7 linked regions of the Coturnix japonica genome follow. The protein of the gene in region 5 purifies or fractionates together with the protein of the main gene of each other region. This does not show direct contact. Links are inferred from orthologs where the notes say so. Each region holds a gene or a part of one and is shown on either strand. Other genes may lie near its edges.

The links.
Region 1: the proteins of SINHCAF (region 5) and SAP130 purify together in Homo sapiens (affinity purification with mass spectrometry; 3 studies listed by BioGRID and IntAct, counting the BioPlex papers as one, with this or other methods). This does not show direct contact. The link is inferred for Coturnix japonica from reciprocal best matches to the Homo sapiens genes SINHCAF and SAP130.
Region 2: the proteins of SINHCAF (region 5) and BRMS1L purify together in Homo sapiens (affinity purification with mass spectrometry; 3 studies listed by BioGRID and IntAct, counting the BioPlex papers as one, with this or other methods). This does not show direct contact. The link is inferred for Coturnix japonica from reciprocal best matches to the Homo sapiens genes SINHCAF and BRMS1L.
Region 3: the proteins of SINHCAF (region 5) and ING2 purify together in Homo sapiens (affinity purification with mass spectrometry; 3 studies listed by BioGRID and IntAct, counting the BioPlex papers as one, with this or other methods). This does not show direct contact. The link is inferred for Coturnix japonica from reciprocal best matches to the Homo sapiens genes SINHCAF and ING2.
Region 4: the proteins of SINHCAF (region 5) and ARID4B purify together in Homo sapiens (affinity purification with mass spectrometry; 3 studies listed by BioGRID and IntAct, counting the BioPlex papers as one, with this or other methods). This does not show direct contact. The link is inferred for Coturnix japonica from reciprocal best matches to the Homo sapiens genes SINHCAF and ARID4B.
Region 6: the proteins of SINHCAF (region 5) and ARID4A purify together in Homo sapiens (affinity purification with mass spectrometry; 3 studies listed by BioGRID and IntAct, counting the BioPlex papers as one, with this or other methods). This does not show direct contact. The link is inferred for Coturnix japonica from reciprocal best matches to the Homo sapiens genes SINHCAF and ARID4A.
Region 7: the proteins of SINHCAF (region 5) and SIN3B purify together in Homo sapiens (affinity purification with mass spectrometry; 3 studies listed by BioGRID and IntAct, counting the BioPlex papers as one, with this or other methods). This does not show direct contact. The link is inferred for Coturnix japonica from reciprocal best matches to the Homo sapiens genes SINHCAF and SIN3B.

What each region holds. Positions count from the first base shown.
Region 1 is NC_029524.1:1,643,929-1,647,428, reverse strand, and holds part of SAP130 (histone deacetylase complex subunit SAP130), read right to left. Parts: intron 2,593-3,500; coding exon 2,344-2,592; intron 2,216-2,343; coding exon 2,090-2,215; intron 1,263-2,089; coding exon 1,159-1,262; intron 922-1,158; coding exon of another isoform or gene 829-921; exon of another isoform or gene 789-828; intron 479-788; coding exon 365-478; exon of another isoform or gene 364-364; intron 151-363; coding exon 1-150. UniProt on the Homo sapiens protein: Acts as a transcriptional repressor. May function in the assembly and/or enzymatic activity of the mSin3A corepressor complex or in mediating interactions between the complex and other regulatory complexes.
Region 2 is NC_029520.1:32,955,584-32,959,083, reverse strand, and holds part of BRMS1L (breast cancer metastasis-suppressor 1-like protein), read right to left. Parts: intron 2,900-3,500; coding exon 2,860-2,899; intron 2,029-2,859; coding exon 1,902-2,028; intron 709-1,901; coding exon 585-708; 3' UTR 1-584. UniProt on the Homo sapiens protein: Involved in the histone deacetylase (HDAC1)-dependent transcriptional repression activity. When overexpressed in lung cancer cell line that lacks p53/TP53 expression, inhibits cell growth.
Region 3 is NC_029519.1:35,244,523-35,248,719, forward strand, and holds the start of ING2 (inhibitor of growth protein 2), read right to left. Parts: upstream 2,801-4,197; 5' UTR 2,469-2,800; coding exon 2,270-2,468; intron 339-2,269; coding exon 1-338. UniProt on the Homo sapiens protein: Seems to be involved in p53/TP53 activation and p53/TP53-dependent apoptotic pathways, probably by enhancing acetylation of p53/TP53. Component of a mSin3A-like corepressor complex, which is probably involved in deacetylation of nucleosomal histones.
Region 4 is NC_029518.1:34,320,297-34,323,796, forward strand, and holds part of ARID4B (AT-rich interactive domain-containing protein 4B), read left to right. Parts: intron 1-1,078; coding exon 1,079-2,287; intron 2,288-3,500. UniProt on the Homo sapiens protein: Acts as a transcriptional repressor. May function in the assembly and/or enzymatic activity of the Sin3A corepressor complex or in mediating interactions between the complex and other regulatory complexes.
Region 5 is NC_029516.1:52,980,498-52,984,517, reverse strand, and holds the start of SINHCAF (SIN3-HDAC complex-associated factor), read left to right. Parts: upstream 1-1,220; 5' UTR 1,221-1,369; exon of another isoform or gene 1,370-1,377; intron 1,378-4,020. UniProt on the Homo sapiens protein: Subunit of the Sin3 deacetylase complex (Sin3/HDAC), this subunit is important for the repression of genes encoding components of the TGF-beta signaling pathway.
Region 6 is NC_029520.1:50,228,777-50,232,276, forward strand, and holds part of ARID4A (AT-rich interactive domain-containing protein 4A), read right to left. Parts: intron 3,346-3,500; coding exon 3,266-3,345; intron 2,396-3,265; coding exon 2,319-2,395; intron 561-2,318; coding exon 394-560; intron 1-393.
Region 7 is NC_029543.1:3,324,330-3,328,620, forward strand, and holds the start of SIN3B (paired amphipathic helix protein Sin3b), read right to left. Parts: upstream 2,801-4,291; 5' UTR 2,718-2,800; intron 2,295-2,717; 5' UTR 2,211-2,294; coding exon 2,188-2,210; intron 1,686-2,187; coding exon 1,532-1,685; intron 859-1,531; coding exon 595-858; intron 262-594; coding exon 118-261; intron 1-117.

The sequences.
Region 1 (3,500 bases), on a different chromosome or scaffold from region 5:
CTCCTTCCGCTTTAATTTGGATACTTTCTTGACAGTTCCGTTCTTGTTCAGAAGCTTCAGAACACGATCCTTGTGATCCAACACCTTCAGCATCGAGTCTCTCGCCTCGTTGATTTGATCCATCACGAGTTTACATCTCTGCATATTGCCCTGAAATAAAACGTTATCGTCACCAACAGCAGAATAAACAGTCACAACAAACACCTTTACTGTATAAAGCCCCCACTAACCAATGACGCAGGAGAAGCACCTTTATTATTGTGTTATTTTTAAAGCCAGATTCAGCACTTACTTGGAAAACATCCTGCTGCAATTACTAAAGGTAGAAGAGTTCTTCTGAGCTTAGGGGCCAGTAGGAGCCTACCTGTATCAGCTCATTGATTCGATGCAGGTCATCGTCAGTTGCTGCCTTCTTCTTAGGAATGAGCCCCTCCTGTAAGGCCGTCAGTCTCTCATACACGTCACGCTCCAGGTTTGTCTACAAGACAACAGCACTTCATGAGCAGGTTCACCACCGGGCCCATAAAACATCTGCCCACATTATGAAATCTACACAGAGAAGACAATCGTCTGTTCCCCTCTCAGCTGCTCATGTTAGTCATTCAGAAGATGGAGCCTCTGATGCTGAGTGTGGCATTATTGTTCTTACTAAACATCCTATTCACAGCATTGCTCCACTTCTGAACAAACATGGAACCTAGCCAGAACTGTTTCCCCTGTCTCTCACAATACTATTCCAGGAATGCAGAGGTTTTGGGGAGTTTGGTGCTAGAATGCAGAGCACCTACCTCACCCCCAACCTGAAACAGAAGCATCCAGGAATGTGGATCAGTGCTGCCTCCTCAGATCAGCCGCACCATCCCAAACAGACGCTTCTTCAGACCTGTGCATCAGCAGGAGGGAGTTGCCAATTTTGATCATCTGTACAAAATACATCAGCTCTTATGTCTGGATCAAAACCAACACTAAGTTTCCAAGCCACTTAACGCCACATTCCTGAGAAAGGGGAAAAGCGTGTCCCACTCCCTTTGGGCGCTACACACCAGCTTATGGCATCCCTGCATCAGGTGAGCATGTACTGAGTTTGTGATAACATCCTGCCTTACAGAGCTCCGTGTTCCCCGCGGTACAGGCAGCCGGCACGTCCCATGCACCTACCAACTGCAGCAGCTGCGCCGCACACAGATGGACCTTCCACCCTTGTGCACGGCAGGATACACCCTTCTGACTGGCAATCTCCTGCAGCATGGCTTTCTTCTCTTCTGTCACCAAAAAACACAAATAGAGGTTCAAGTTTCAGGAGTCCACCAGGCCTCTGTTCTCAAACAAAAGCTTTAACCCAGCTCCTGCTTTCCACACATCCTGCTTAAGGAAGAGTCAGCAACACTTTGATTGGGACAGGAACATAACGACTCATCTGCCACGTTACCTGAAGGCTGCTCTCACCCCCCAATGGCTCATCTGCATTTTCAGATCATTTTTTATTGTTTGCAATGTTGATTTTCCCTTTCTTCCTCTAAAACGAGGTGTTGCTTCCAACACTGTACATGAAGAAGCAAGCAGTCCATCTCACACTGCTGCAATACCTATCTGCTCCTTCCTACCAGCCACAAAGTCCAAATCACAGAACCTGATCTCAGTTTTCCTCTTACTATCAGAAACATCCCATAGAAACGCACCAGGCCCATCTGTTAGCTCACGAGACTCATTAAATAGGGAACGCTTTTGATTACATTGGCAGCACTGTTAGGTAGTAAGGCAATCTGAGTGCCAAGCCATAGCCTACCGCTATATAATCTATTTAGGAATTTCTTTAGGCAGTTTCTATCCTTGTACATAAATACATTTCTCAGTAACATAACATTTTCGGTTAACCAGACAGTTAGAATTGTATCTGACTCTATAGAAGATCCTCCCCTTTTCTTCTCAGTCTTGAGAGAGAAAAGATCTAAGCAACATCTAGCTAACTAAGTCATTAGCTCACGTGAGTGACCAACGCTTGTGTTCCATACTGTGAGCAAAGCCTGCTTGTGGGGCAGCTTATCATCATCATCATCAGCCCATGCAGCTCCTCAGGCAGCACACTGACCTTTCACTCTGACGTCGCTGTATCTCTGGAAGTGGTGGTAGGCGGCTTTCCAAGGATTGCGGTAGTGGCGGAGCAATGTGATGGGAGGCCTGGGACGCACCGGGACATACCTCACACCTTCCTCATCTACAAAAGGGATCACAGACAGCTGTGTTACTATTGTGACATGGGAGACCAGCACGGCAGCAATCGTGACAGGCAACAGGTAAAACACAGATGTTCAAGTAGGAGAAGAGTGTCAGAGATGGCATTACCTATATATTCCTTGGGAGGAGACTTGCGCTTCTCTGCCTTCACCAGCAAGCTTTTGGCAGTAGATTTCTCATCATCAGTGCTGTTTGTTTCCATCATGTCTCCCTCCTCTGTGGAGATGACGTGCTGCTGCTTACGGGGTTTTTTCCTTGGGGAGGCACCAGGCGGCAAATCACTTGGAGGCATCGAAAGGTTGTTGGCCAGCAGTGCCAAAGATGGAGAGACAGTACTTGTAGTCAATGGAGGGACTGCTGGAAGGAGAGAAAGGAGAAGAACCTCAACTACCAGTGGCACAGAGGTAGCAGTACTGTGTTTTAACACCATCTCCTCTCAGTGCGTTGTGAGAAACATGGGCTCCACCACAGATGCAGTTCATCCCTTAGTATATGAGAACCAGGACTCATCACTAGGACAATGCCTGTATTCTAAGATCCTCAGAACAAAAAATGACAAGAGACTGTTCTCACTCAGTTCCTTCACCTTCAAGGCTTGCAGCAGTTGAATGCTATTGAAAAGGAACCTGTGCTAATATCTCTCACATGGTCAGTAAAGAAAACATCTTTGAATTGATGTTTCACCACAGATCACAATCAAAAACAGGCAAGTCCCCTCTTCAGTGCAGGTAGAGGCAGATGTAGTCAAACCATGACTGCAGTGCTCTCCTTGTCAGTGCACTTATACTGCCAAGTCAACAGCCAGTGTCAGCAGGCTGCTGTACAAACCAACAGACTGCTGGAGCTTGGCAGCACAGCAGCGGGAGCCTGAGGGGAAAATAACCCTTTACATTTGCAGGGACTGAACCAAGCGTGCCACGTAATACACAGCAAATGTCTGGGATGAAATCTCAATTGAGATTAACTGCACTGGTTTGTATTATACTGGCTCTGCTGCTGACTGTGTTCTAAGCATGCAATTCATACACTCTTTGCAACTGGACTGTTTGAAAATGAAGAAAGCAGCTCCAACCCCAAGTGGTTTCCACAGGAGATCAAGGAGAACAAGGCAAATTAGAACCTAGAGATGCTCACCTAGTTGCTGTTCTGCGGTTCTTAGTACCTGAGACAGGAACCCTCTCAGACGCTGCAATGCCCTTTCCTTCTAGGAGTTACTAACTTGTGTCAGCTTAACCTGAATCGTTGCTTTCCATTTTATTTACTGG
Region 2 (3,500 bases), on a different chromosome or scaffold from region 5:
TGCTCCTGAAAAGTTCTAACTTAAAATATTGGCTTTGTCTCATTAAAAACAATGTAGTAAACCTTACAAAATATAAGACAGTCAGAACTAGCAGAGCTGTCGAGGGCAATAATTTCAATAAATTGATCCACTTTGGATAAAATAATGCTTTATGCATGTTACAATCTATTCAAAAGCAACAGCTGAACAAGCTAAATTTTCATCCACAAGAGAAGCATGACGGTCACTGAAAACAAAGGGAGTTGCTGGTCATTGTGGGTGTTATTTTTATCAAACAAACTGGTCACCAATGAAAAAAAAAGAATTTTTTATTTTTTCCATTTTAAAAGATCAACATTTAATGAGAAATTCTGAGCCATTACATTTGAAGAGCATACTTCATATCGTAAGCACTGGACCCAATTTAGAGGTAAAATGTCAGTTAACATGATTTAACATCCTCAGGTTTCTGAAGGCCGTCCATATGAAGTTTACATACAGCGCTACAAATACACATCAGATACTGCTGTAAATTTATGAGGAATACAAAACGCTATTAAATACAACTTTCATCCCATGGCACATCAAGCATGGCTTAGCAACAGTCAGTTGTGGTTATGCTTTATTGAATACTTTCCTTTCTGTAGCTGAGAAATATACAGCTTGGATTTGCTTCCATCCGGTCTTTTGAACCAAACTTCATCATGGTTAATTGTTGTAATTATGGCACTACAGAAAATGAGGGAAGAAGGGCCAGGGAAAGAAAAATAAGAATCATTTAGCAAAGTTAAAGAATAAATAACATCAAAAACTGCAGCTGTAATGTAAATGAAAACACATAGTAGGTATAACCGCTAGGCTCAGAAAGTACTGACTCCATTGTAAGGATGGTTTTGGCACCATTTTTTAATAACTGTGTATATTTCTAGTAAAGACAGTTGAATTTTCAGACAGTTATTTTTATTTCTTTTATGAGAAAATCATCACATCTACAAATACTTTAAACGTTACGAAGGACAGTCACTCAGAGTAATCAATAGACTACCCACAGTACACTAGAAAGCATTTCCAGAACATCCTTAAACTTATAAAACCCCAAGGTGTAGAACTAAAACAAAGCTCAAATAAACAAATGAATACAAGGAAGAAAGTGTTCAACTGTTAATCCCAGCACCAGGACCATGAAAAATAAAGCTAAAGCCTGACCTATTTAATTTAACCAAATCATTCTTACATGATCTTTGATTTCATGCTCCTTGTGGTAAACTCCAACACAAATACTGGGGAAAAAACCCAAACCTTAAAATGTTTCTTCCAAACAGAACTGGTGCCAAACATAGCTCAAAAACAGATTAAAACAGTGGAAGCAGAGGACAGACTCTATCAGGGTCCTCTATTACAGGACAAGGGGAAATTGCTTCAAACCAAAAGAGGAAGGATTTAGACTGAATAAAAGAAAAAGTTTTTTATAACAACTGTAGTGAAGTAATGGCACAGGCTGCCCAGAGAGGCTGTGGATGATCCATCCTTGAAGGCATTCAAGCCCAGGCTGGATTGGGCCATGGATAACCTGGCCTAGTGGATAGCAACTCTGTCACAGCAGAGGGTTTTGATCTAGTTTATCTTCAAGACTCCTTCCACAAGCAACAGCAAAAAGTAGTTTTCCATGATTAAATATTTTACAGCTGGCCAACAGATCAAAGTCTCAGCAAGAAAATTCCCAAACACAACCCTTAAATCACAGGCTGTCCAGAAATTGGTTAAGAGCTTCAATCCTTTAATAAAATCCCATCCTAAAGCGAATTACCTTCGGTAAAATTCAACCTTCACAAGGATGAATTTATTTCCAATTTATTCTTCAAGGCCACCACGTTGCCTTTTGCTTAACAGGACTATAGAGAACTGAATAAAATAATACTCACCTTGTAGGACATTCATCTTTCTTATCAATGTATATCGTCTGTCCACGTCCATACCACTCTCCATCATAATACAGTCTTCCTTCTTCAGATCTAGCACTATGTAGATGCTTCTCTAGTTTGACAGGTGCTAAAACAGTCAAATTTAATATCAGTTGGCAGAAGTCGGTAAGATTTAGAAATAAACATCCAGTAAATTATTTATACACCACATATGCAATTTTTACATTGTCATAGGTAGTCTCTCTCTAGATAGTTAGCTCCAAATGCAAGAAAATTAGAAGCATTATATTTATTTCTTTCCAGTCAGATAAATTAAAAGCTGCATTTCCATTTTAAGTTCTCTTTCATACAACCCTCCAATCTATGATGTGAAATTTCACAATTAGAATAATGCAACAAGACACATAATCCGAAATCTCTTCATCAGTGCATTATGCCCGAATGCAAGCAGTAACTGACCACTGAAGAAACCACTTGTCTTCTCTCCCTTTTCATCATTACTCACTACCTCCAAGCACTTGATTTTACCTAGCATTAATATGCTTCTAACCTCAGACCATGTTATCATTTACCACTCCTTTTCCATATATGTTTTTTCAGAGCTACAACTTGCAGTGAATGCAACGTGTGTTCAGAATGCTCTCTTAAAATTCAGATGATTTCAGCTTTCTGCCTCATTTTATGAAAATATTGGCATAATATACCAATATTCACTAGTAAAGCCCACTCTTAGAAGTCTTGATTTTTTAATTAATTTTTACAATTCATGCAGCAATGACAATCACCAATCCAGCTGCAATTATCAACAACTCAGAGCAGGGATAGACATATTCCAATTAGCTCACCCTACCCTGTGTTCAGCATACCAAGGCTAAAATAAATATAGCCTGCTTCAATGCAGTTTGCATCACTGTATATTGCAAGCTCTGTCTTGTGAAATCAGACAACATTTACTTACGTTCTGGCTTTACTCTGTGTGGCCCCAATGTAGCCATTGCCTAGAAACAAAAGAAAATGAAGACAGTCAGCAGACATTTTTTTCTTAATTGCCAGCTCAAATTGTTTTGCACAGCACAGCTCAAGACATTTGTTTTTATGTGCAGCATTAATGTTATGTGATACTGATGACACTATGAAATGCGTGCAAACTTTGAGTACTTTTTGGGGGAAAAAGCAAACGTTACTTTATTAATATGAACTGCTTGGTTACACTTGCTTTTAACTATTTGGGGAGGGGAGGAAAAATGACATTCTCTAATGAGTTTTGACTTTACTAATTTCAAGTTTCCTAAATAAAATTCTCAAAAATGGCCATTATTCTATTAAAAAAAACAAAACAAAACAAACAAACAAAAAAAACCAACACAAAATGACAATAATTCTGGTTCTGAAAAACTAAGTGCTATCTGAACAACACACCCTCCAGATTATTAAGTTATACCCACAAGCAGACAATTCACGTGAGTGAAAAGCTGTGAATCATATGCAGCAAAGTAGATTTTTAATTCTTTTTTGTTGTTGCTATTTCTTTAAATCATGTTACATTACAGCAAAGAAACTGAGTGAAAGCTATTTTTAATCTGTGCCTCCAATGAGACA
Region 3 (4,197 bases), on a different chromosome or scaffold from region 5:
GATCCCGTTTGCTATGTGGCACAGGTCGCGGCTTTCACTGGTCCGCTGCCGACGGGGTCTACGTGAAGATCTCTCCGGCTGGCAGGACTCCATCTTTGCCTTTTCTAGAGGCTTGTCGTTCTCAGACAGGTCTTGAAAACACTGAGAGTGAGTTTCCATCTGTCGGGCTCTGTTCTCTACCAGTTCCAGCATCTGAGTAACTATCTGAATTTTTTCATCTCCCAGTTCTTGACTGTTGATTAAAGCACGCTGGAGATGCTGCTGCAGGCGTTTCTTCTGAACGGGATCGTTCTCAGACTTGTATTTTTCATAGACATCGTCTATTTCTTTTAAAGCTTCTACAAAACAAACACAGTACGAATAATTACACGAGATAGAAGGTACATATCTGTATTTTGTTGAGCACGTTCAAACGGACGTGAAACAGTACAAGTTTTAATTACAGTATACCCCAGTGGGCTACATCAGGTATTTAATTCAAGTTACACCTGAGCATCAAGTCAGTGTTTAAGGTGGTAATCCACTGCATAAAAAGCTTCTCAAGTTCTAAGAAAAAGCAAGATGCTTTTGAGCACTGGATAAAGGGAAGGGTAAGCCCAGAAAGGTGAACGCTGCTGCCAAAGCCAGAATGGTCCAAATTCTGACTCAGCATCTGACAAAGCAGGATTTTTTTGCTGAGGTTCCATATTAGAGTAGTTACAAAGCCCTGGCCTACAAACCAAAGCTTCTCATACCATAGGAAGAATCTCAGAATTCACTATAATCGTGTAACCATCACATTACAATCCAAAATTAGGATATGCAGGTCCTCTGCCTCCTCCTTTCTATACACGAGGGTTTAGCACTACCTTTTCAACAGCCCTTAGTTACAACAAAGTACCACAGTGGAAGCTACATATTAACAGATGTACAATCAGGATCTAAGACAACTTAAACCACTCCAAGTGGTGCTGGTTGTACCAAGAAGTTACATCCAGTTGTGTGTTACATTGAGGCAGAACTTGTCCTCCACATTTTCCCTTTTGATGGATTTTAAAATACTATTTTCCAGACGGAAAGCGACACTACATCTACACAAGAAAGACAGAGGAACTGCTGAAGCAGAAGGAACTAAATCAGTGGAGCTGACAGCGAGATGTGACGGGGTGCTCGATACAGCACCGATCCCTTCACAACTAACTTACAGGTCTGTAACGGGTAAGCGAATTTATGAACGATACTCAACTGATTCCACAACCAGAATGGACACGGAACAATCTCTCATCCTGCACAGCTCTGTTTATAGGCTGCCTTTCATTTTTAAATTAAACGCTTTGTGCAGTTTTAGAATGATTCAAGCTCGCGCTAAATGGAAGCCACGGTTATTATCTCAGCGTTGCTCACAGTGATTTCTTTTCCTGCTGACATCCTGAAACAGCACCTTAAGAGGGAACGGTCACTTTTTACTATAAATACTGAAATCTGTATGGAAACAGTAACCAGCAGCACTTTGTTCTACTGCAGACCTTCACCAGAGGAAGATGAAGTCAGTGCTCTGCCCATCTAATAACTCACAGTGCCAGTACTCCAGCTGTCACTGAAAACACAGGTTTCGCTTTCCTACAGCTTTCAGCTGCATCTGTTGCCTTGACAGGATAAAATATTTGCTCTGAGAAGTGCCGAGTAAGGCACTCTGTAGTCTGAACAACTAGAAAGACTAGAAAATGTGTAGTGACAGAGCGACAGGTTCACTGAAGTACTTCCTTATTAACCCCTTATTAATTAGAGGAGGTACCCGTGTCCAGCTAGACAGCTTTAAAACCTCTGCTTAAAAAGGAGGCTAAGAAAAACAGACCAGGACCAAGCGTCCATTACAGTTCATCTGCTTGAGTTTGGTGGAGCTGAGAAAAGAGAGTTCCAACGCTGTCAGCACGGAGCAGCTGTGCAAATCCTGCAGGCACCAGCACTCCATCCTGACCGCCCCGTGTGCCCCCGGCGGGCACGGCCCCCATGGCGGGGCGGAGCACAGGGCTCGTAACGGCCCCGCAGCCCCGGGCACACCTCGTGCTCACAGGCGACAGCCCTGCCTGCTCGGCGCTTCCCCTTCCACCCCCCGCCGGATTTCAAGCTGAGCGGGGAGGCCGGGGCCTAACGCCGCAGCCCGGAGCCCCGCGCCCAGCGCATGTGCGGCGGGCGGCCGCCTCCCCCCCACCCCGCGCCGCCCTCCCCTCCCCTCCGGTCGGTCCCTCCCTCCCGCTGCCCCGCGGAGGAGGCCGAGCCCCGGACCCACCTTGGCAGCGGGTGTCCACCTCCCGCAGCAGCGACACGTTGCGCTGGATGTCCAGCGGCAGCGACTCCACGCACTCCAGGTATTCCTGCACGTACAGCGACAGCAGCCGGGCCCGCTCCCCGCCCGGCGCCGCCGGCCCCGCCACCAGCTGCGGCCCCGCCAGCATCATCCCCCCGCTGCAGCCGCTCCAGCCGCACATCCACCGCCGGCACCGGCTCACGGGGCAGCCCCCGCCCGGCCCGCTCCGCTCTGCCGCCTCCTGCCGCCTGCCGCCCCTCTACCCGCGAGCGGCCGGACCGCTCAATGCCGCGGGACCGGCGCACCGCCGGGCCGGACCGACCCACCCGGACCGAGCCGCCCGCCTCGGGTCCCGCTCAGCGCCCGGCGGAACGGCCGCCGCCACAGCGAAACCCACTTGGAGCCCCCGCCCCTGGTCGCCTGGCTACGCGCATGCGCGAGGCCCTGCCCTTATAAGGCGCGGCTAGAGGCGCCGCCAGGGGTTCGCATTCTCCCGCCTTCCCCTCTCGCGCGCTCCTATTGGCCCGAAGGGCGGGGGGGCGGGATATAGCGCAGGGGCGGAGCCTCCCTTAAAGGCACACGCACCCTGCTCCTCCCCCCGCTGACGGCCGGGCGCCGACTCCGCGGGGAGCGTGGCGGGGCCGCTCCCTGCCGGGGGCACCTGCCGTGGCGGCGGGCGCACGGACGGCCGTGAGGCGGAGGATCGCCCCAGGTGCCCCGGCAGCGCCGCGTGTGGGCGGGCGGCGGTTGTGGGGGCGTTGGAGGCGCGGATCCGTTCGTCAGCCGGCTGCTCTCAGCCTTGGCTCTCGGCTCGTGCTGCCCGGCTGTCCCGGCACGGCGCTATGCCGAGGTGTGGAGTAATGGCCCGAGTCAGCAGCGTGGAAAGGAACGGAAACAGGGGGGTGGGCAGAGCTAGCGGAGGGTCGGAACGTGAAGGGCAGCGATGAGTCTGAATGGTCGCGGTTCTGTGAGGAAACAGAGCTGAGAAACAGATTCCTGCCATGCAGCGTAGGAGTAAAGCAAGATACAGCGTTAATTACAGACTGTGTGCTGCAGCCTGATAGCCCCGTGACACAGCTGCACCTATCAGGTAGATCCAGACTGCAGGCTATTAATTAAGACTGTTAAGAGTTAATTACCAGGACGCATTCAAGAATTTCTCAACACGCCGAGTTACTCTATGCTGATGTAACACCTAGTGCCACAGTTAATTACTGCTGTGCTATGAAAAACATCTTGAAGGATAGTGAATAAAGCCATGAGATAATTGAGTTCACGCGTTTGAAATGACACCAGTCACCTGATGGAAGCCTGGCTTAAGGAATTCGTAACACTGTCACGTGTGAGGATGTTTTCCTTCCCACGCAGGGAAATAAAGGTGGGAGTAACTCACTGCAATTCTTGCCCTAAAAATGTCTCCACTGACTACAAGGGAGCGCAGGTCTATTGTCACAGATGTCGGCAAATTGAATTCCATTCCGTATGCTGAAATGGGGTAATTAGGCGCCTACAGTTACCAGCTACGGATGTGCCATTTGTTATAGACTCGGTAAGGATTTGGGTTAGACTTGTCAAAATAAGGGCAGCATCTCCGCGCACACCATGTACCTGCATTGACGCTGGCCTCACACAGCTTTGGATGCAGCCTTTCACTCTTGGCGGAGCAGCCGACGCGGATAAAGTTGAGCCACAAAACGGGATGGCCTGAGAGTGAGCCCCGTTCTGTTGGTGCTGCGGCCCGGCTGCCGGGTCGCTCGGCACTACCTGCGTGTCTGTGCCCGTGACGATGGCCCGCCCCGCGCTCACCCGCTCGGCCCGGAGGCGTCTCGGCGGCGTCACGTGGGCTGCGGGGCGGGGCGGGCGCCCGCGGCGCGTGGCACTCTCTGCCTGCGGTCCGGGGACTTTCCCCT
Region 4 (3,500 bases), on a different chromosome or scaffold from region 5:
AATAACAGTTACCATAATCTTAAGCTTTGTTTCCTTAGGAAAACAGAAACAAAAAAGCAATTAGTTGTGTTCAATGTGATGTTGTTACAATTACTCTATAATCAGCTTTTCCTTAGGAAAACATTACTTGATGCTTTTTAATTGTGCGCTATTCTTTTTGCTTTTCAGTCCACATAGATTCATGCTGTAGGTTTAAACAACTTTTTTTTTCCCTGAAGGATGAAATGCTGTATTTTGTTACTGTATTTTCCCACAATTTTAGAGCTGTTTGTTCAAAATTTACTTATCTTTTTTTCCTAAACTGGGATGAACGATGCTTATTTATTTATTTATTTATTTATTTATTTATTTATTTGGCTTTCCTTTGAAGGGCACAGCAGACTAAACAGGTTGAGAGAAAAAATGTTATTTTATTAGCAGAGTTCTTTCGATTTCATTTGACATGGTGGTTTTTCACATCTCATGTATTCATACTAGCAATGTAGTTTTGGTCCACTATGGTGTGAGAGAGAAAAGTATTTTAAGTTCATTTTTTGTGTGCCAGACTTCAGAACTTTGAGCCATAATGTCTACCATAAATTTTCAATTGGAAAATGCAAACAAAAATGGAAGTGTGTTGTCAAACTTGTTTTCAAATTGGATCTTAAGGTAGAGATTAAGATCCTGCATATCTTAAAAGAAGTTGAGAAAATAACATTTCCCAAGATATTTTGTTCTGTATCTCTCATCTGTCTGCCTGTATGCTCTTCTTGTATTTCAACAAGACTTCTTAAAGAAAAAATAATAATAAAAATGCGAGAGGTAATGAGAGCTGATAATTATGATATGAATAAAGCATTTTATCGTGCAAAAGCTGATATTAAACAACAGTGTTGTTTAAGTGAAGGCCGTAGCCCACTATGCTTCCTGGAGATATACAATGTAATTTAGTACAATTTATAAATGCAATTTAAATATGTACTACTAGAAATTCCTGTAGCGTGTGATCATATCTATATGGTTTTCTTTATTTTTATTTTTTAGTATTTTTAACCAAGATCAATGCCAACTTTCTCATTTTAATTTTATTTTTAATTAGCTTCTGAAAGTTCTGATGATAGTGAGCAAGAAGATGACCAAAGTGCCCAGAACATAGATGCTGATGGCAAAGAGGAATCTCAGCACGAAGCCATGAGCCAAGATAAAAATGAGTTGTGTCTAAAAGAAGAACAGGACAGTTCATCCCTCCCAGAGGAAACTAAAGCTTTGACAGATACAGTGGTGCCCAAGTCAGGATCCAAGTCTCCTGAAAGGTTGCGAAAAGAGATGGAAGAGTTATCTGAAGATACTGACTCTGATGGAGAAGATGAAGCCACAAAAAAGAAAAAGGATGTAAAAAAGGAGGTTGGGGATAAAACAGCAAAACCACAAGTAAAACGTGGTAAACGAAGGTACTGTGTTGCTGAGGAATCTTTAAAGACTGTGTCGCCTAACAGAAAGGACGAGAAGTCCAAAAACAAAGATTCCCTTAGTTTAGAAAACAGCAGCAACAGCTCTTCGGATGAAGAAGAGGAAGACAAATCTAAGCTGAAAATCACTCCCACTAAAAAGTACAATGGATTAGAGGAGAAAAGAAAGTCTTTACGGACAAGTACTTTCTACTCAGGATTTTCTGAAGTGGCAGAGAAAAGGATAAAGCTTCTAAATAACTCTGATGAAAGACTTCAGAACACCAGAGCAAAGGATCGAAAAGATGTCTGGTCGAGTATTCAGGGACAGTGGCCGAAGAAAACGCTGAAGGAATTGTTCTCGGACTCTGACACTGAAGCTGCTGCCTCCCCTCCACATGCTGCTCCAGAGGATGCTGCAGCAGAGGAGCAGCTTCAGACTCTTCCAGAGGAAGACATTTCTTTGCCTAGCTCTGAACTTGAAAAACCTTTGCCGTCTAGTGTGGACGTTAAACCTGTTGAGGAAAAAACAGCTGAAATGGGTGAAAAGAAAGTTGAATTTCCAAGTAGCGGCAGTAATTCAGTGCTAAATACTCCTCCTACAACTCCTGAATCGCCTTCATCTGTAACTGTAACAGACAGCAGACATCAGTCTAGCGTTGCTGTCTCTGAGACCTTGCCACCAAATCAAGAAGAGATAAGAAGCATTAAAAGTGAAACCGATAGCACAATAGAAGTAGACAGTGTAGCAGGGGAGCTGCAAGACCTCCAGTCTGAGGGAAATATTTCTCCAACGGGTTTTGATGCCAGCGTCAGCTCCAGTAGTAGTAATCAACCAGAGCCAGAGCATACTGAAAAAGGTAAAGGAAAACAGAAACAGAGGTGTCTTCAACCTAACATATCCTGGTGGTTTTTTTTTTGTTTGTTTGTTTTTTTCTGCATTGTAGATGTATTTTCATTGTTATGGTTACACATCTTTAGAAATGGCATAATCACCTATTGAATAAAAGATAATCTGCCAAGAAGCTTCTTGGCCTTTCAGAAAAAAATTTGCAGTAGTTTTAATGAGGAATAAACTATATAAGAATAAAGTTTATACCAGAGGTGGCAATAAAAGCCTGGAATGAACTGTAGTACTTTGTGTAGGGAAAATTTACTAGCAAGCTGAATGCATTTAAAAATACCTTGCTTGCAAGTAGATTGTATTGTTTCTCAGCGTTAGAGGATCAATTTTTTTTCTGCTTATTGGGGAGAAGAATAAGGCCAGTAATTGCATGCATAGGCAGCCAGCTCAAGCTTCTTTAATAGAAAACAACGAAAAGTAACAAGGCAAACAAATAAGAAAAACAAAGTATTCTGATCACAGGTCTTGACGTGATTATCAATATTTCAGATACGATTTTGCAGACTGAAGTTCACAACTTGAGAGCACTAGAATACAGGCCTTAAACACTGTTTATGCTTGTATGTGTAATGTCAATATTCTGTTCTTTTAACTATTTGCTAGACTGGATCCAAAAGCTTTTTTGTGGCATGCAGTGGCTGTTTCACAGCTACTTCTAAGAACCATTCACCTGCCTGAAAGTAACTAATGAAAAGGAAAAGGTGTCTGAATATAAACCTTAATACAGAAATGATTCATTCATCTCCACAGATTTCATTTCTCAGTTGTATAAAAAAATATATTTTTTTTCAAACAAATGTATTGGAATAAGATTTTATTAAAAAAAAAATGTGTGCATGTATATGTGTTAATATATATGTATGCATATATTTATGTTTATATATATATATAGTGTGTGTATATATATATATATATATAATACTATATAATATATATTCGTATACGCGGAGTGTATAAATTCCATGTGGTTCCAGAAAACTTCTGTTAATGCATTGAACGGAGTTACTTGCAGCCATCTGATGTGCACACTAACCAACAAGCCATTTTCCATCTTCCTTTACCTCCTCTTTTCAATCCAAGTAGAAAGGTGAGCCGTATTAAGTGCATACAGGAACAGCTGGTTACATTACTGTTGAGGCTTAAGCTCTGAAGCGTTTTCCTGAGATTTT
Region 5 (4,020 bases):
CCTCCAGATCTCAGGGGTAGATTTCCACTCGGCCTCCAGTTTTTCAAGTGCCTCAAAAGGCAGCGTAAGAAGAGATGAGTTTTTTGACAGGAAACAGCCTGGCAGGCAGAGGGCTGATCTTCTTAATGGTGTCTTCAAATCGCCTTAATACAAATCCACATCGAATGGCCTTATTGGCTTTAATAAGGATGAAAGCAACAGCGCCGCAAAGAAATGAGAAGCACCTTTGAAGCTGCACTAAAGGTTTTTAAGCAGTAATATAAAATATTTTGGCTTTTTTTTGTGTGGTTATAGAATTTGAGCAAACCCTGAAGAATCTGAGAGAATTATGCTCCTCCAAAGGAATCTGACACACCAATTAAAAGCTCCTCAGAAAGGTTATTATTCTCTGCTAAGCTCTATTATTATTAGGCAGGCTGAGGTGCAAATGCTCTGCTTGCTTCCTAGGTGAGAGGCAGTTTCTGTTGTCAGTGACTCTCACACCTTCAGCGCTGCACTGAGCACCCAGGCAGCACAGCAGAACCTCGTACCTGTCCTCAGCATCATCAAGCTTTGCTGTCGCTGTTCACTTGCCTAAATCATAACACGGATACTTCTGCTGCTTTGTTGATATATTTACTTTAAAATCCCAGCCCTGTGAGCATTTATGCCTTGCAAGACTGAAGCGGGAACAGCTGCCGGGGTTTGGTTTTGACAGCTGCTGTTCACCTCCCAACAAGGAGCCTGTTTGTGTTTGTTTATTCATTAATATTGGAGCGGAACACAATAGGATCAGATGTCGGAGCTGACCAATGCCCTACTTTGCCCGTGCTAGAGCTTGTGTGTCAGCATTCATAACATGGATGAACCTGATCTACCTGCGGGTGTCCCCGTTCACTGCGGGGGGGTTGGACCGGGCGGCCTTTAAGGGTAAATTCAGACCCTAAAGACTCAAAGACTCAGGGATGGCGGCACCCCAAAGCTCCCGCGCTACGGGAGGGACGCGCCAAACAGGCCCCGCCCCCAACGCGGGGCGGCAGGTGGCGGGAAACGCCCACCGCGGGGCGGGAACGTGACGTCACGCGGGAAACGCCCCCTCCGTGCCGGGCTTCCCGCGCCTTTCTGCCTTAAAAGGACAATGGGGCGCGCGAACGAGACGGCGCGATTGTTGAGAATGGAGCCGTGGGAACCGCGCGTGCGCACAGCGCGGGAGCCGGGAGGAGGGGCGGGGCCGAGCGGAGCGCGGGAGGGGGCGGCGGAGCGGAGCGCTGCGGGGCGGCCGGACGGGCTGGAGGAGCTGCGGGACGGGACGGAGGGCGGCGGGAGCAGCGCCCACGGGGCACAGCGCGGAACGAGGCGGCGCCGAGCGGGGCTGGGCTGCGGGACAGCGGTGAGTCGGTCGGTACCTGCGGGATGGAGGGGAGAAAAGTGCGGCCGGGAGGCGGCGGGAGACTTTAATGTTGGGAGTTTGTGGTCGTGCTTTTTTCTTGCTGTTTTCTTTTTATTTTTCTCCTCTGTTTTGAACTCTGCTCCCCGGCACGTTGGTTTGCGCTCAGTGAGCGGAGCCCGGCGGTGCTGGGTGCAGGTGCGGCCGCTCACACCTGTGGCTCGGGGGCCCTGACACGCGCTGCTGGGGCGGAATCCCGTTGGCACGGAGCTCGGCCCGGCCAAGGGGAAAACAAAGGGCCGCCGTGTGCCGCGGGCGGGCCGGGGCTCGGAGCGCGTGGAGCGGGGGGCGGGGGCGACTTTCGGGGAGAGGCGAAACTTCGGCCGCTCCGTGCGGTGCCGCCGTCCCCCCCAGCTCCTCCCCGCGGGTCCCGGAGCCCCGCGCCGCGCTTTGAAGTGCAACTGTTGCCATGTTTGAATTACGTCAGGGCCGAGCCACGAGGAACCCGCGCGCACCGCACGGGGGTGGGGAGGGGGCGCCGCCAGCGGCACGGCCGGGGGGCGGCCGGCACAACGTGCCCCGTGCGGCCCGTGCGAGGGCAGCGGCAGCGGCAGCGGGTCGGGGGCCGCCCCACCTGGCCCCGGGCGGCGGAAAGTAGGTCGGCCGGCTGCCCGACCGGGGGGGCCTTTGTTCGCGGCCGGAGCGCGGCGCTGCCCCGCGCGGTGCCACGCGGTGCGAGCACGCCGCCGCGGGAGGGTTCGGCGCCGTCGGCTCCTTCATCCTGTCCGTCGTCCGACCCGGCTCCGCTCTGCTCCTCACGCCAGCACTGAGTCGCCGTTTCCTTTCGCGCGAGTGAGCGGGGCGGCGGGATTTAAAGGGCTCGGCGCGGCTCCCGGGGCCCGCGTCGTTCGGACCCCCGAAAATTCCGGCGGTGCCGCGTGTCGGGACTGCGGAGGTGCCGGCTGAGGCTGAGCCGTGCGCTCGGGCACGGACACCACGTGCTCGCCGCCCGAGGTGGGGCTGTCAGCCCCGCACGTGCTGCGGAAAGCCCCTTCTCTGCGGCTCCGGCTCGCTGTGTGGTCCGCGATGTTCTTATACGAGAGGGATGACACGAGCCTCGGAGCGGGCGCTGCTCGGGACGGCTTTGTGCCGGCGAGTCACAGAATGACCCGGGTTGGAAGGGACCTCAAGGATCATGTAGTTCCAACCCCCCTGCCTGGCAGGGCCACCAAACATACACCTTTACTAGATCAGGTTGCCCAGAGCCCCGTCCAACCTGGTCTTGAACACCTCCAAGGACGGGGCATCCACAACCTCCCTGGGCAGCCTGTTCCAGGACCTAACCACTCTCCTAGTAAAGAAGTCCTTGGGGGCAGCCGAGCGTTCCGGGCTGTGCTATCGCTGCAGCTGTGGGGTATTCAGACACACCTCTGGGCTTGCTGTGCTCCTGCAGGAAGCAGGCGCTGAGCTTCTCAGCCCGTGGGAGAAGTTCCTCCCTGCTCCACTCCCTGGATCCCTGGAAGCCGGTGTCTGTGTGCAGCTCTGTCAGAAGCAAGCACTGCTCTCTGCTTAGGAGAAAGATGTTAAGAGTGTGGGAACGTTCACCCGGATCACAATAAACAGCGTTAGAGCTGCGGTGGTTTGCCTCGCTTATGTGAAACAACTGTGTCACTAAAGCGCTTTGCACTGTTTCTCAACGCAGCTTCTCTTAAATCTTTGTGGTGAGCGATGGATGCGGCTCCGTTTCTAAGCCCACTGTGTGCCGGGGCTGTCCAGCAGAAGGAAGCAGACGCTGGGAGCAGTGGCCCAGCAGAACGTAGGGGTGGGGCTCCATTTCATGAGCTTGTGAATTTCTGTAGGATGTGCTCTGTCCAAAGTCCGCATGAAATGACTGCTGGTACCGCTTAAAGACGTACAAGTGTCTCAGTGAAGGCGCTTCACCCTATCCCTCTGCTATTTCTCTTGCAGTCCTCATCAGACATTCTTACCTTACAGGAGAATGATAATCAAACCTGTTCAGCGTCTTGTGATCCGAGTGTCCGTGATGCTGTTCCAGCAGCAGGTGGTTGCTGGCAGCGTCTTAACAGCTGCAGTGCACCCAGATAAGCATCACAGACAGAACTCATTGAGCAGCACAGGTTTTTCTTACAGGGCTCCTGCTTAGGCTGAGCGTGGTTTTAGTTTTGCAATAGGAGTTTCGGGGGGGGAAAGTCCTCTTTGGAAGTGGAACGTCTGCAGGTGGGACAGGTTTAGGATTTCTTTTTTTCCTTATGCAAATCTTACTGATTACTGTTTTCATGCTTTGGCCTATCCCTTCTGGAGCGGTAGCCTCAGAGCAGCGTGCAGGAACGCCCAAATACCTCGGCCTTTCACTCCTTTTTCTTTGTGTAAATGGATTGGGTTTGTGTTTCCCATAGGAGATCAGCAGGTCAGCAGGCTCCTCTACAGCTCGGCTACTGACAGTTCCACTCGGGGTGGCTGTGACCCAGCTTGAGCACTGTGGGAGTCTTGAACAAGGAAAAGCGATGTCTGGTTTAATTTCAGTGTGGTCTGGGAGTCTCTGCCAGTTGCATCAGTTCTGCTGAGATCTCACTGCTGCGCTACAGTAGTTGCAGACAGGGCTGGTGTAAGAGTTGGCTCACTGATTGAGCTGA
Region 6 (3,500 bases), on a different chromosome or scaffold from region 5:
TGGATGTTGTGTTGATATGATTTAGCTGGGAAGTATTGGTAATGGTTGGACTAGATGATCTTCTAGGTCTTTTCCAACCTTGATGATTCTGTGATTCTGTGAAGCTACTTTCTTACATGAACTACACGGGAAGCCCAAAAGAAAAGCACACAGCTATTTTCACACAATGCTGGATCACTCCTATTTGTCTCAGCATCCATTCACTCATTTCTTTCACCCAGATTCTTTCCATCACTGCCTTGAATTCTTTATTTCTGACTAGGAGCAAAGGGAGGATGCCCAGCTCTGAAAACACACTGAAGTTAAGACAGAGAACTTCATGAAGCAGAATACCTTTAGACACACACGTTATTCTATTATCTTTGAAGAATAACTGAAATTGCCCAGACTTACCAGTACTTCTTCATTTTTCTCTTCTCTTTTTATTTCCTCTTCATCAGTTTCTGCAGCAGCTCCATCTTCTTCATCACTGCTAGAGGATTCCATAATCTCACTTATGTCCATCTTCCAGTTCCGAGGGACAACCTTTGTGCTGAGAAACGTGCTTGCTTCCTGAAGCCCTACAGAAGAAAGGGCCCTCTTCATACCTCATCCCAAGTATTCAGAATCAGAAAGCATTTCTCAATTTCCTTTTCATAGCCTTATAAATTAACGAAGCAAACTTAAACCAAAATGATAGTAAGTGATGGAGTAGCTCTGTCTACATAGTATATACTTAAAGACAGGTTTTAAAAATCAAGTATCAGAAACTCGAGGAGCTTAGATTTGAGAACATCCATCTGTATTTTTCCCCCAGAGGGTGGTGACGTACTGGAACAGGTTGCCCAAGGAGGCTGTGGATGCCCCATCCCTGCAGGCATTCAAGGCCAGGCTGGATGTGGCTCTGGGCAGCCTGGGCTGCTGGTTGGTGACCCTGCACACAGCAGGGGGTTGGAACTACATGATCATTGTGGTCCTTTTCAACACAGACCATTCTATGATTCTATGGTATTTCCTAGACACGTGCCCTCCCGAACACTACTAAGCCTTATACCTATTTATTTACACAGTATCAAAGACCTTTACTTATCCACATTTTCTGTGCAGCTGTGAAGCTGTTTTGTTTCTGTATGAAAGTGGCAAATAGTGCAGGAAATCCACTTAAAAACAAACAAAAGCTCCAAGCCATCACAGTTCAGGTACCAGGAATTTCTTTGTTCTTTTCAAAAGATCTTCATGCCTCAGATTGTAAAAAAATAAAATGAAATAAACCAAAAAATAAAAGCACACCAATATTTTGTTAAAGAAAGCTGCCTAAGGAGATTCTGTTCCATTCATGTCTGGAACAGAAGCACTCTAATGAATAAGGGAGTGATGGTATGGGGAGAAGCCACATTCATACAATGGGAATACCTCGGATTCTTTTCCTTCAATAAAGAGGAATCAGATTACCCCAAAAGAGGGACGTACTGCAATGAGCCATTCACAGCATTGCAAGAGATGAAAAAGCACCAGAACCTAAGAACTGCTGGTAGAGTTCCTGTACTCTGAAATAATTAATAGGAACAAAGTACATGGGAAATATTAAATCAAAACCTCCTCAAGCTGTCTTACTTGCATTACGTTAAAACCCCACTTGTAAAGAAGCTGCTCTGCACCTTTAATCAAATAGAAGGACCTCTTGGTGGTGGTTTTTCTCTTGTATATTTGTTTTTCAAGTAAATGTTTGAAAATTTCTCCTTTAAAAATGATGTGTTTTAACTGGGATGATCAACTAAAAGTTGAACATCTACATTAAAGTGAGAAACTGGCCTTCCACAAGCTCAGGAAAAACATGAATACCACAGACACATCATCCATCCATTCAGAAAATCTACCTCTGTAATTAGACTCTTCAATCAAGCATTATTTCAGGCTATTGACATCAGCTATTCTATTAAAGGTTACAATTCCACGTCTGGGTACTTTTCATTTAAAGACAAAACGTGTTCCAACCATAGCATAAAGCAGTGGTTTTAGGAGAGGTAGCTTTATATGCCATTGTTCAATGATATTTCAAAGACTGTACCTCCAAAATCACCTTTTGAATTTGAATAAATTTAAAGTGGAATGAAAGAAGGAAACAAAACCAAATAAGCAACACTTCTATTAGTTGCCTTGTCATTAATAGGGCAGTTGTATCCAAAGTTTCTCTAATTTATCACATTTAAAGCTGTTTGCAGAATAGATGGCCAGCAGCATTCACTTCAAACCAATACGCAGCTGTTAATTTGGAAAAGCTAATATTGCTGCTGTATGAAACTGCATTTTCAAAACACCCACAATTTACTCAAATTTACCTTTTTTAGGGGAGGGTTCTGACTTTGGTAAGTTTGGAGCATCGAGTTCTTTAATGTCTTTTCTTGCTACTGAATAACTGGAAAAAAAAAGTTCTGTTATTTTTCTAATACAGTAAAACAGGTATTTGACTCATACAAAGAGATTTCTAGTATTTCTTAATTTCAAGCTTCTTTCCAACAAGTAAATATGTAGGCTTTTGTTACCTGAAACGTGAAATAGACATGCCTGAGTCAACATTATGGGTATTGTATGTTTAATAAACTTGTGCACTTAGAAAGAAAGTGAGGAAGAAGAGTGCCAGGTGGCCTTAACCATGGATGTTTGTAGTTAGAGTATGCTGAGAGAGATGCACTAGAAGTGCATGAGAAAGAAGACAAATAAGGGGAAACAGCTTAGAAAAACAGACTTGGTATATTTTCAATATACTTTTCCTTAAGAAACACACATATCTCTCCCCCCAAATCCATTCACCCACTCAGTTTTTTCAAGGGGGGTATGGAGTCAGGAAATAACAGGTTAAAAGGACCTTTTTAATTAACTGTTTAATTAAAATAATTAATTTACATCCACTTTAAAAAAATTTAGAAGTAGATTAAACACTTATTAAACTCTGCTATTTAAACAGCAATGGACATCTCGGGCTCACAAGGTAATGGGTCAATCAGGTATGAAAACTACTGCCATTGACACGGATGACAGCTGTAATAGTTACGACATTAAGGATATTTCTTGACACTGAAACACACTTTACAGAACAGGAATGACCAGAAATTAACATCTGGTTGTTTGTTTTTTGAAGTTGCTGACTTCTTTTTCCTCTCTGAGACACCAAAGCCATAGTACAGATACAACACAAAGGGGGAGGGAGGGGGAGCACAAAGAAGAAATCAGTTGGAATTGAACTACAGAAGACAAAGGTTAAAATAAAAGGGAAGCTGTTACTTACAATTTGGAATCTGCAAAGGATCGGACTAAACACTGGTCCTTTTTCACTGTGACGTCATCGTTACAGCTGGGAGATACAACCTGAAGTTTCAAATAAAACACTGTTTTTTTCAAAGCAGAAAAGAAAATGAAACAGCTTATCTTGAAAGGAATGACAGCAGGAAAATAGCTGCTTCCTTGTTTCTTCCAGTATAATTTGGAGTTCTGAGAAAAGGAACATGCTCCTATTGATATTA
Region 7 (4,291 bases), on a different chromosome or scaffold from region 5:
ATTCCAAGCAGTGAAGAGAAGTGAATTTCATCTACAGGTTGTGAGTCTTTCCATAATGCATTCTACATATGAACAGGCAGCATTAAATATTCTGCCTTGCTTTAAGCATACACATACCAAAGACCTTTTAGCCTCTGGAAGAAACTGTCCAAACTCAGAGAGGAGATCCTCCTGGCCTCTGAACAGATTTGCTACTTCAGTAAATACTTCTTCCTCTGACATGCCCCGAAAGGGTCGACCTTTAGTGTTAAGCTGTTCTTTCTGAAAAGATACACACAGATGTTAAACAGATACAAACACACGACTCACAGCAGCCAAAATAAAAACACAACATAAACTTCATATAACTATTAGACAGTCCAAGGCTCCTATCCCACAGGTTATCACTACATCAGCTGAAGGTTATTGAAGACAGATCCACGTACAACCCCTCTGCATCTCAGAGCCCAGGAGGTTCGACAGTTTTCACACTTCTGTCATTTCATATGAATATCTATGAGGCAGTTGTTGCACAAAGCCTGATGTCTCATTTGATAGCTGTTCAAGCAGCCACACCACAAACCCATAATCTATCTTACATTGAAGGCTTTTTACCTGATAAGTATGAAGAATTTCTAAAAAGGATCTGTAAATTTCTGGGTGGTCAAGGAAGCGCGTTTTGATCTTATTCACGTAGCTAATGGCATTATTGAACTCTACAGAATCGGACTCCAAAGGGATTTGGGATTTATCTTCTTTGTACGGAAGCTGGTGCCTAAACTCCTCAGTACAGTCACTGTGGTTGTGCGAATTCTCCTGTGAGTAATGCAACAACAGCCCGCTGCCAGGGAGGGCGCTGGGAACAGGCTCTGAGGGCACCTAGTGGCATAAGACATACAAGACAGTGACTCGTGTTGAAACACAGGTGCAACTACATCCTAGCATTGATATTTTAAATGTTTAGCTAAAACAGATTACCACATGAAGAAATAAATGTGGGGGGGAAAAAAGATTTAATTTGCTAATACATTTTCTTCCCTGTGTTATTAACACCACGAGTTAAAAACAAACAAACCCATAAGCCATATCTGACTTGGTAAACAGTCTGACTCACTGCTGCTTTTGACTGTCCCTGCATTATCCACACTTGTGAGGCTGTACCAGGTAATGTGTGCTGCAGTTCCTGTTACCACTGTTCTATGTCAGTTTTAAGAAACATTAAACTCCTGAGCAACAGAAAGATCTGAAAGATACATACTGCTACTAATCAGCATTAAACCACAACTTTATCAGCAGAATTCAGTAAGAACTCTATTTCGGCCTCCACAGCTGCACAGTAACAAGAAAAAAGGAGAGGCCAATGTGTACCCAACCATCACACACAAGATGTATTTCAGTTTTACATTGTAGCCCTTACCACATCTTAAAAACTAGGTCAGAACTTTTGCAATGTGCAATACATGCAAACGTACATAGCCTAAACAGCGCAAGAGATGTGCGAAGCAATATATTAATAGGATTTATTTGGAGTACTGTGAGCTTTATAACCTACCTGACTTGTCAGCGGTGACTGTATACTTAACTTCCCATTCTTTGGAATTTCTATTCTGTATCCCAGAGGGAGAAAAGCATTGAATCCTACAATGAGGTCGGGGTGTTCGTGGAACAGCTGTGAGACGCGTCGGATGACTCCGGGTGTGTCGATGCTAAAATTGAGAAGAATTTTGTTACTTGTGTTATGTCAGAAATACAACTTAAGGCCAAAAAACTACAGAGGTAGGTGAGAAGCCAGATGCCATTCTCATCAAAAACAAGTCTGGAATCTTCAGACCTAGGAGTGAGCCCAGGCAGAGGGAAGGAGCAGCATCCACTGCAGCCACCCACTGGGAACATTCTCCATAGAGAAGAACATGCAGGTTACCCAATATGGGCACCACACAAAGACTGAGAGCTCTCAGCAATACTCTTAAAATTCTTCATCTGTTTTTCCAAATCTGCGTTTCAGAGCAGGATGTAAAAACACACTGTTCTTTTCCCATGGATTTCTGCTCTGGAAAACAAGGAAGCAGACGGCACTGGGATGGACACCTCCTCCATCACCTCCAGCGTGGAACAACTGGGCCAGCAAGGACAGGGGAACCATGGGGTGAAGGCTGAGGAAGCCCCCAAGGTTGAGACAGCCCCGGGGCAGCCCGGGCCGGGCTTTACCTCTGGCTTTTGAACTCCTTCATGATCTCCAGGAAGCCGTTGTAGGTGGCGGGGTCACTGCCGAAGCGGATCTTCACCTGGTCCAGGTAGGAGAGCGCATCCTCCACCTGTGGGCGGGATGCTACTGAGGCCCCGGGGAGGGGGCGCACAGGCCCGGGGCGCTGCAGAGGCCTCGGCTGACACCCCCACCGCGCTGAGAGCGCCGGTGAGACGGAACAGACCCCGGGGGAACGCCGCGATACCGGAGCGGGGCTGAGGGCACCGAAACTGTGGGACCGAGGGGGGGATCAGGGGACGGGAGGATGGTGGGGGAAGGCCGCGGTAACGGGGGTGGGGAACGGGGCCGAGTGTGGGGGGGGGGAAGGCGGGGGCGCCCCGGGCTGTGGGAGCAGAGGGGCGCCCCGCGGCCCCGGGGGCGGGTTCGGCGCCGGACCGGGGCGGGGCGGGTCACGGCGGGGCGGGCAGGGCCGCTCCCCGCCGCCCTCCGCGAGGATGGGGACGAATCCCGGGGGGCCGCGCTCCGCACTCACATGCACCGGCAGCTTCTCCTGCGCCGCGGCCCGGCCGCCGCCGCCGCCGCCCCATCGCGGGGCGCTGCCCCCCCGGCCGCCGCCGCCGCCCCCCGCCGCCATGTTGGGAGTCGGAGCCGCCGCCGCCGCGCGCCCCCCGTCAGCGCGTGCGGAGCGTCTGCGTCAGCGCGCACGGCGCCACGGCCCGGCCCGGCCCGGAGCGGAACCGCCCGCACCGCGCGACGCTTCCGGCCCTTCCAGCGGCACCGGCGGGAGCGGCGGGGAAACCTGAGCGGGACGAGGGAGGGACGGGGCTGCGCGGGGTGAGCAATGCGGGACCGCTACGGGCAGCGGCGGGTGGCGGACGGACGGACGGACGGACGTTGTACGGGAGCCCGGGGCCCTCGCGGTGGCCGCTCCTATTGGGCCGCGATTAAAGGGCACAAACTGAGCTCCAGCGCCCGTTGTGGCATTTGTGGATCAAACACCGTCTTTATTTATTGTTGCTTATTCGCTGATCTTACACGCTCGTTCTGTGGTACGTGGCAGCGGTGGCTCGTGCTGTGAAGGCGAGGGGACCTGCAGGGCTACTCAACCACATCGTTCTGAAGCAGGATGAGATAAGATGGGATGGGATGAGATGAGATGGGAGGGGAGCGGCTGTTTGTGCTGTTTCAGGTTATTCATCTTGGCTTTTACAGCACCGAGCAGATGTGGGACAGCGTGTCGGTCCAGATCAGGCTCCCAGAAGGGTTTCCTTGGTCACACTGCTGTGTGCTGCACTTCCTCCTGTCCCTCCCTCTGATGTCGTTGCACAGAGCTGTGGTGGTGGTGTGCTGAGAAGAGGCTCTTGTGGGACGACAGAACCTCTCACAAATGATGCGACCCAGCCTCGTGGTGGCCACAAACCCATCTGCATTGGGGAATGATCCTACAAGCAGTGCTGTGCATGCGCTGCACCACCAGCAAGGCACCTGTGGGGCCAGGCACAGAGCAAAGGGCTTAATGTACATCCCTAACTTTGGGCTTCCCCTAATGCATGTCCCCTGCTTCCTTTCCCAGCAGACAACTGAACTCTGTTGAATTGGACCACTACTGCTACATGAGAGAGAGGGAAACCAGTATGCTATGCTGTCTGTTTCTCCATAGGACACCATAGGGATGTCTCATAGAGACCTTGGGTTGAATTTGCAATTAACTTGACTGCTATTTGAACCCTTTGCTGAGAGCTGTAGTGCTGGGATTTCAGCTTTTGGCTTTGATATTTGTAGTGGAAATGCTATGTCATGGCCTGAAACAGTGTTGGAACACCTGGTGGGAAGGCAGGGCCAACCCAGGGAGCTCAGGTGCAAGCAGTGCTGCTGAGTGATGGAGGGGTGGAGCCAGGATCCACCCCTTCCCAGCCCTCATTGAAGGGTTGGCTGTGGAGGTGAGGGTATCTCTGGTTGGAGATCCCTGCTTACTTGAGGCCTTCCAAAGGTAAGCAGTTATTTTCTTCAGTTTCTGAATTTATGGTCGCTGCATTCAAGCTCATTCTTATTTGCTGCATTCAAGTCTTTGCTAACTTGTTATTATAGCATTACAGTGTTCTACCC